2 linked regions of the Oryzias latipes genome follow. The protein of the gene in region 1 purifies or fractionates together with the protein of each later gene. This does not show direct contact. Links are inferred from orthologs where the notes say so. Each region holds a gene or a part of one and is shown in the gene's direction. Other genes may lie near its edges. The genes, in order: limk2 and ttc1.

Region 1 (3,817 bases):
AAGCTCAGTTTGCAGGAGCGTTCCACTTTGCTGCAAATACAGCGTTCCTCCCAACATTTTGTTCCAAAGTTTTCCTCATGTGACCAATCAGACTTGTTAGATTCAGATAGCATATTTAGATTTAATTTAGCTTGCATATGCCCCAAAGAACAAAGAAATTAAACTCCTGCCTGGACCTTGAGGGAGTTTGATGGTTTGCACCTTTTGACTTCAGCACTAACAGGATCACTTGTTCATGTTTACATAGACGGAGATAAGAAGAGCAGCAGCAATAAGTTTAAGTGTTGGAAGACGAATGCAGAGTAAACAAGCAGGTGATCGGTGGACTTTCCTCCAAAGAGGTTTGGAACAATACAGCCGCTTAGCAAAGTCTGTAAAGTAAATATTTAGTAAATCCACCACCCATTAAGTCTTATTCAAAGTGGAATAACAAGTTATCTTCCCAGCACTCAGAACAGAGGCAGCAGGTCTATGCCCTGCGTCTAGTTTAATAGAACAACATTTATATTTTCCTTTAGTTTTTGGATTTTTTTAAAATTTTTTTTATTGAATTTCAATTACTACCGCTGATACTGTTTGCTATTCTTAAATATCTTTTGATTTGTCAACTGTTTCTTGCATTGGATAAGTAGTCATCCTTTTTGATCTGAAGGGTTTTTGTCGTCTTTCCAGATGTTCTGTGTGCTCTGACCTCCTGACTAACTGGTACTATGAGAATGAGGGCAAACTGTACTGCCGAAAACATTACCTGGAGAAGTTTGGAGAGTTCTGCCATGGCTGCTCTCTGCTCATGACCGGACCTGCTATGGTAAGTCTGCTGTTTTTATTATTTTCCTGTCTTTTTTTATTTTTTGGAACCTTTTTTTTTCATGTTTTGTGACTTTTGCTACAAGAAGTGGAGGGACAGTGGAAAACTAGTGCTCTCTTGGGAGCTCTTCAACAGCGTTTGACTTTCCTTTAACCCATACTTGGTCTTTTTCTTTCTTATACTACATTTTTCAAAGTATCTAGAAAACTTGATAGTTTTTGAGTTTCTGACTGAGACATGATAGTCCACTGAAGGTCAGCTAGTGGAAGCACTCTTACCCCCTTTAATAAACATTAGTACAATGGCTTAAAGTGACCACACAGGCTTCTTAAATAGTTTTTTTTGTCTTAGGATGGATGAGTCCCGTCTTTGTTTTTCTCTTAACATCTGTGATTTCGCAAGACTTTAACGGACTACATTTCAACTTTTACTCAGACGTTTTGCCTCTATCCGCTTGTCTCCTCTGCTCATCCAGCAACATGCAAGTAATATGTCCTTCAAAATGGCCATTAAGCATGGTGATACACGTTGAAACAGGCGGCTAGCATGCATTAAAAAAAAAAAGCGGAGGGCTGCATTGGCCGCAGTTTAAAAATGAGTGATACTTCACTTGGGCTGCTGCTGAACTTAGCAGAAGGAGTTCTAGACTTCACTTGTGAATTGGTTTCCCCCTCGAGGCCCCAGAGGCCCCAGTCTGTTCCCTCTCTGCACAAGTTCTCCACGGTTCGCCTCCCCACATGCTGTAGGAAGGAGAACATGTGCTCCTTTTTGGAGCATTTAGACTCCTCTTTTTTTTATTTTTCCCAAAAATATGATCTGAATTGATGGCTCTTTTAACATTCGAGAATGCGTTTTTAAAACTGAGGAGTTACTTCACATAACAGAAAGTAAAAAGAGGAGCTTTGATCAAAGTAGAGAAGCTGATGTGGGTTAGATTTAGTGCAAATGCCACTCAGGCTCGGTTGTGGGTCTTTAAGTTAATCTCCTGCTGGTTTCAAACTTGTCCAACATGAAACCAGACTTGGGTTTTTTTGTTTTTTTTCTTTTTTTCTTTTTTGCTACCAACTAACACACAATGGAGCTTTTTATTTATTTATTTTTACTCGCATCTCGCTTCATCAGCCAGTGAGGCCAAATGTTTTTGGCAGGGCTGAAGTGGCACCACAGTCTGTCAGCCAGAAAGAAAATCATTGTGGTCCAATGGTGGAGGAGGGTCACGCAGAGCGGCTGCCTGCTTGTTAAGCATTCTTCCCCAGAACACTGCTGTTTTTGTCCCAGTTAATTATTTGTTAGTTTATTGATTCATTGGGATGTTTTGCATCTTAAAGTTGTTGTTTTTTGCTTTAGTTTTTTTTCTTCACCATTTTGATGGGTTTTTTTTTAAAGGAGCCTGGTTTGTTTGAGTTAAAGCAGCACGCCACTGTGCTTCTGTTTTTGGCTTTAAGGCTAGGAGTTGGGCTTTCACAATAATTTGGTTGTCATCATTTTTAAGCAGCTGAAAAGTGACTCCCAACACCGTCTGACTCAGAGCTGTGTCAGATGTTGGAAAAGTACTCCAAGAAAAAGGAAAGGGGGAAAAAAACAACTACATTCCTTAACATTGCAATTACAAACTCAGGAGCATCTTTTTGACAAAAAATGTCTTTTCTTGCATAAAACAAAAAGCATTACATTTAATAGAGATTTATTCAGAAACCAGCCTTTCTTCTGAACAAGTATGTAACTAACTCTTGGATCAAAGGGGCTGCATTATCTCATTTTGCATGAGAGGGATGAAACAAGACAGATGTAGCCGGTGTGTGACATTCATGTCGGAAGGCAAACCGGCCCGTCGTGTGGAGGCTGTGTCACTGAGACAGACTTGAAAGGCAGAGCAGCAGTGATTCAAGCGGCTCAGACCTGCAGAGCAGATGACGTCAGCAGATTCCAGACGGGCTGAGAGAAAAGCAGGTGTTGAGGGTTTCACGCTCGCAGTGGAGAGGAGGTCTTAAGGCGAACGCGCAGTCCTCTTTGGATTACTTTTTACTTGAAGCTGAGTGGATGATTTGCTGGTTTTTGTGTGGTTCCAGGTGGCTGAAGAACACAAGTACCACCCTGAATGTTTTGTTTGTCTAAGCTGCAAGGTGGTGATTGAGGATAGAGATACTTATGCTTTGGTCGAGCGGTCCAAACTCTACTGGTAAGTTACTTCAACCTTTTCAAGCCATTTTTTTAATATTAAAAGTAGATTCATTGATCATTTTTAGATATAGATAGTTTTACATCTTGTCTATGAAGTGCCTTATTTGCATTTATGGTAACTTAAAATGTTTTTTTGCCTTTAATCATATTTATTTAAAGTCTTCTGATGATTTTGGAATGATAGTAGAATGGTAAAAAGGCTAAAGCTGAGGTGCTTCGATGCATGTTTTTTGCAGTGGAAGGTGCTACAAACAGGAGGTCCTCAAGCCAATGTTGGAAAAACACTCTCAAGACTCCGTCATTCACTCCCTGCCCCACACAGTGACCCTCATCTCCATGCCCTCTGCAGCCAACGGCAAGAGGGGCTTCTCGGTGTCGGTGCTAAGGGATGTCGCTGGTTCTGCAAATGTTCAAGTGAAAGAGTGCGTTGCTTCTGATGCTTATTTTCTACTCGTATGAGAACAGAATGAGTAATGCATTACGTAAGGTTGATTACAGGTCTGTTAAATAGCAGGTGTGGAAGTGTGCCACTGCAGGAAAAAGCAGCAGTCGGTGGTTTAGTGTTGTTGTTTGAGTGTTGTTCTAGTTCTTAGAGGGGCTGTCCTTGTGTGCTCACATATATTCATGTTGGTGCTGGGTTGTTTCAGGGTCAGAGGCATGCTTATTAGTCCAGAAGTACGAAATGCCATCCATGTCGGGGACAGGATCCTGGAGATCAATGGTCTTCCTGTTGAGACGCTGATGGAGCAGCAGGTGAGATTTCTTTTTTTTTTTTTTTGGTCTGATACTTCAGGGATGAGGTGATCTTTCAACTGAAACCAACAGTTT
Region 2 (3,917 bases), on another chromosome or scaffold:
GTAAGGAAAATAAAGATTAAAATTGACTTTCTGAGTATTTTATTATTCAAATTGTAGTGAATCAGGAGCGGACGAAAAAAGTTTATTTTAAAATTGGAATTACAATTGTCAGGCCACAAGCTCCCTGCTCTGCTCCATTCTGATTCATCCAGTTGCAGTCAAATAGATTCATGTACGTCTTTGTTTTCCTCGTCTGACCTGGAATCTGGATCAGAACTGTATGGCTGGATAGCTACAAAATTGCTCCCCATTGTCGTTGCATCGGTAATGTTAGGTTAGAGGGTGAGAGGCTAGAAAGGATAATGGGGTATCAGTGGAGGCTCACTTCCACGCCAACAGTCTTGCCCACGATTCTGAGTTTAATTTCTAGTGAATTCCTGCTGCGCTGCAGAAGCTATGACCTAGAAAACGACACAGGTTTTTAGATTTTGACTACTACTGGCATTAGAGTGGGACATAAATGTGTATGAATCAAGTGCCATGCATACATGAAATGAATGGTTCCCAACACCTGGACATGACAAAAAAATGAACTTAATTTGTTCGGAGCAAGGCATAATCCATTACTATGGGTGACATCACATTCACTTGGGTGAGTTCTCAAATACAGTTGCTGCAAAATAGACTGAAAGTTCATATATAAACACGTTTATTTTGTATTTTTTGGTGAACAAGGATTCACCTTTTGACCCCTCCCTAATGCTTTTCTGCATCCAGCTGCTGACATACCACTACTTTTAACATTAAACTTCTGATAAACCATTTAGAATCAGACCTTGTATTTGCAGCAGGGTTTGAACACAATGACAACGAATCCACACAGGGCACGTTCTAAGGAGCGTAGTTAGCCTTCGAGAGAATAAAGAGGAAAAGTTTGTATCCCTCTGAGCCAATCCCTGTTTGTTCCTTAACAGACATTGGTTTAGTCTAGCGCACTAATTCTCTGTATAACCTAAATTTTTATTTGATCCTTTATTTAATATCGTTAACTTGTTTTTCCATCATTTTGTTGAGCTCAATTTTCTCCTGAATGAAAAACCAATGAGTCAATGAGTTTACCCATCAGGAGGTACCAATCATTGTTTTCACACCGTGTATGGTCCACCCTCTGAGCCTTGCCACCAAAGAGTTTCAGGTAGATGATCTCATGATCTCTCATGACAAAAATTTAAAAAAAATATATTTCTAAATGCCATGTTTGTTGTAATTTTTTTTTTTGATAATTTAAAATGATAATGAGTGAGCAGGTATTTTGTTTTGCCGCACAGCCAATGTTTAGCTAAAGTGACCAGCTGGGTCTTAATAAATCCTATACTAACATTTATGTTTGTGTCACTGCGACTTTTGGTGAATTATTTCTCTTAAAAACATTGATTGGTTTTGTTTTGCTTCTAACCGGAAGTGCAATAAACGGAAAACAGCTTGGTCACGTGGTTTAGGAGGAGGCGTAGCCTGGCGGAGACAAACCCGGAAGTGACGTCAGAGAGCTAACCGGCTAGGCGCTGTTTTCAGGTGAGACTGCGTTTTCTTTCTGTTTTAGTGCGGACCTGCAGCGTCCCCACATGTTGTCGTGTCGTGATAAGTGTCCGAAGTTTATTTAGGTCGCCACAGTCATCCGCTTGCATTCTTTGTCGTTCTTTGACAGGCAGGGCGCGCGCACCGAACCTGACCCACTCCCAGCAGCAGAACCGAGCGGTGTTTGAGTGACATCACTTGCTTGGCTCTGTCGCCGACTTCCGTGCGGCTTGGCGTGGAACCTGCAGTAAAGTAACGTGCAGAGACCAGACCATGTAGGTCATGCTTAAGGCTTCTGTCCTTACTTAACCTGTCTAACCTGTTTGTTAGAGCCTCAGAATGAGCAGCCGGGGAGGTGGGGAGACCACAACCCAAGAGGAGGATTTCTACGACTGTCCAGAAACTCCTGAGCATCCTGATCCCATTGGAGAGGAGGAGGAGGAGTGTGAAGAGCAGAGGAGGAAGAAGCAAAACCCTACAGAGGAGTCTGACCTCAACGTGGACACAGACACCCAAAGAGGAAACGAAGACAAAGAGACAGAAGAAGAAAAAGAAGAGGCCGAACTAGAGGATTCAGACGCTGAGTTCAAAGAGGAGGTCTGCAGTGGAGCCGAGTTTGATGACGACTACTTGAGGGAGGTGGAGAAGACGCTGACCGAAGAGGAGAAGGAGGTAAGATGCAGTTCACGGTGGTTATGAGAGGAGCAAACGGCCGCTGTAAACAACAGTGCAGTTCTTTAGAATCCATTACTGCTGAGTCATGGAATCGTGAGTCGAGCTTTCTGCAGGAAATTTTTTTCCCTCACATCTGTCATGTTGTTTCAGAGTCGACGACAGCAGAGTTTGACCCTGAAGGAAACAGGCAACGGCCAGTTTAAAGCAAGAAGTGAGTAAAAAAAAAAACTGCTTTAATCCTGTTTGTTACCCTCCTGGAACCTATTTATAACCCCTTTATGTGTGTGTAACCCTTTTTTTGTGTGTTCATGTGTGTAACCTTTTTTTGTGTGTTCATGCAGACTGGTCTGAGGCAGAGGACAGCTACTCCAAGGCTTTGGCGTTATGTCCCGTGTGTTTCAGCCGAGAGAGGGCGGTGCTGTTCTCCAACCGAGCAGCAGCAAGACTGCATCTGGTACCACTGATATAACATTGTTACAGAACTGCCAACACACTTTAGCTAACATTGGCCATTACCACTGACTATATAAGAGAATTGGACTGAGTGAGAGTCATGTCAGCCACAGAAAATGGTTTAGTTCCTGCTCCAACCAAATTAAGTCAATTCAGTCATCCTTTTTTGTGATACGGACTTCGCCATGTTGGAACCAGACAATGGCATTAAGCAGTGATTCGATTTAGTCTGAATCAGCGTTTCTGTGGCAACCACTCTCACCAATCAGAAGTGATCTTATTAGAAGTCTACAACCCTACTTGAGAGTGGACTCGTGAGATTCTGTCAATCAGATGTTTCGAACGTTCAACGCAAGACAGCATAAAGGCATCCGATTGGTCAGTTTACAACTTGGATAACTTGAAACTACCAAAAAAGAAGGAAACAAATGTAAAAAACTAAATAAAAAAAAGGTATCATAGCAAGAATAGTTATTCTGACAAATAGAATGACTGAGTAACAGCTGTTTATTTCTCTATGAAAGTCTATGGGATTTTGGCTTCTTGGAGCCAGCTGGTACTTCCTGTTTGGAATGTGAGGGGTCACTCAGTCCAGTTCTCATCTACAGTCAATGGCTATTACACCATTATGTATGAAGTCAGCATTCTCAGAAATTACCACGCGTGGTGGAAGCCTGAACCGTCCAACGCCCGAACTGCGTTAATTCCGATAGTGCACACTTTAAGCCACTATCCCACTTACACCATTTACAAAAGAAGTAAATATTCTATCAATTTTTAGTACTCTATTCTTGTTATCTTTTCAGTTTATATCACTTTTTCCTCAAAAAGCGAACTATTTGTTACGTGGTGCTGCGCGTTGCCATGGTAACGCAACAACGTGCCGCTTATCTCGAGTGCAGCAGCAAAGGAAAGCGATATCTTTGATGATCGTCACGAGGGGTTAAATAAAGCATCAGTTCAAGGAGGGAGGGAAGGAGGAACAACACTACCAAAGCTGATTACTGGATCGGTCAAAGTTTAACCTTCAACGGCGTTCACTGGCCGTGCGTTTTGTATGTAAAGCTGGAAAACAGTCGTAAAAACTTGTGTAGCGAGGCGTCAATGCAAGAATTTTGAACTGAGGAGACCGAAATGCGAGTTCAAGTTGACGTTTTGTTGGAAGAAGCTGCTTAAACATGCGTTGCGTTTTCTTTAGTGCTGACTCAGCCCCATCTGTCAGGATGTACTCAAATTGGATTCTTTTTCTTTAGGTGATGTCCCGCAATGTGTCT

The links.
Region 2: the proteins of limk2 (region 1) and ttc1 purify together in Homo sapiens (affinity purification with mass spectrometry; 3 studies listed by BioGRID and IntAct, counting the BioPlex papers as one, with this or other methods). This does not show direct contact. The link is inferred for Oryzias latipes from reciprocal best matches to the Homo sapiens genes LIMK2 and TTC1.

Annotation. Positions count from the first base shown.
Region 1 is NC_019876.2:4,308,255-4,312,071, forward strand, and holds part of limk2 (LIM domain kinase 2), read left to right. Parts: intron 1-247; exon of another isoform or gene 248-341; intron 342-672; coding exon 673-808; intron 809-2,877; coding exon 2,878-2,987; intron 2,988-3,225; coding exon 3,226-3,411; intron 3,412-3,636; coding exon 3,637-3,742; intron 3,743-3,817. UniProt on the Homo sapiens protein: Serine/threonine-protein kinase that plays an essential role in the regulation of actin filament dynamics. Acts downstream of several Rho family GTPase signal transduction pathways.
Region 2 is NC_019872.2:23,096,446-23,100,362, reverse strand, and holds the start of ttc1 (tetratricopeptide repeat protein 1), read left to right. Parts: upstream 1-1,416; 5' UTR 1,417-1,512; intron 1,513-1,645; 5' UTR 1,646-1,767; exon of another isoform or gene 1,768-1,845; 5' UTR 1,846-1,854; coding exon 1,855-2,187; intron 2,188-2,340; coding exon 2,341-2,401; intron 2,402-2,531; coding exon 2,532-2,644; intron 2,645-3,917.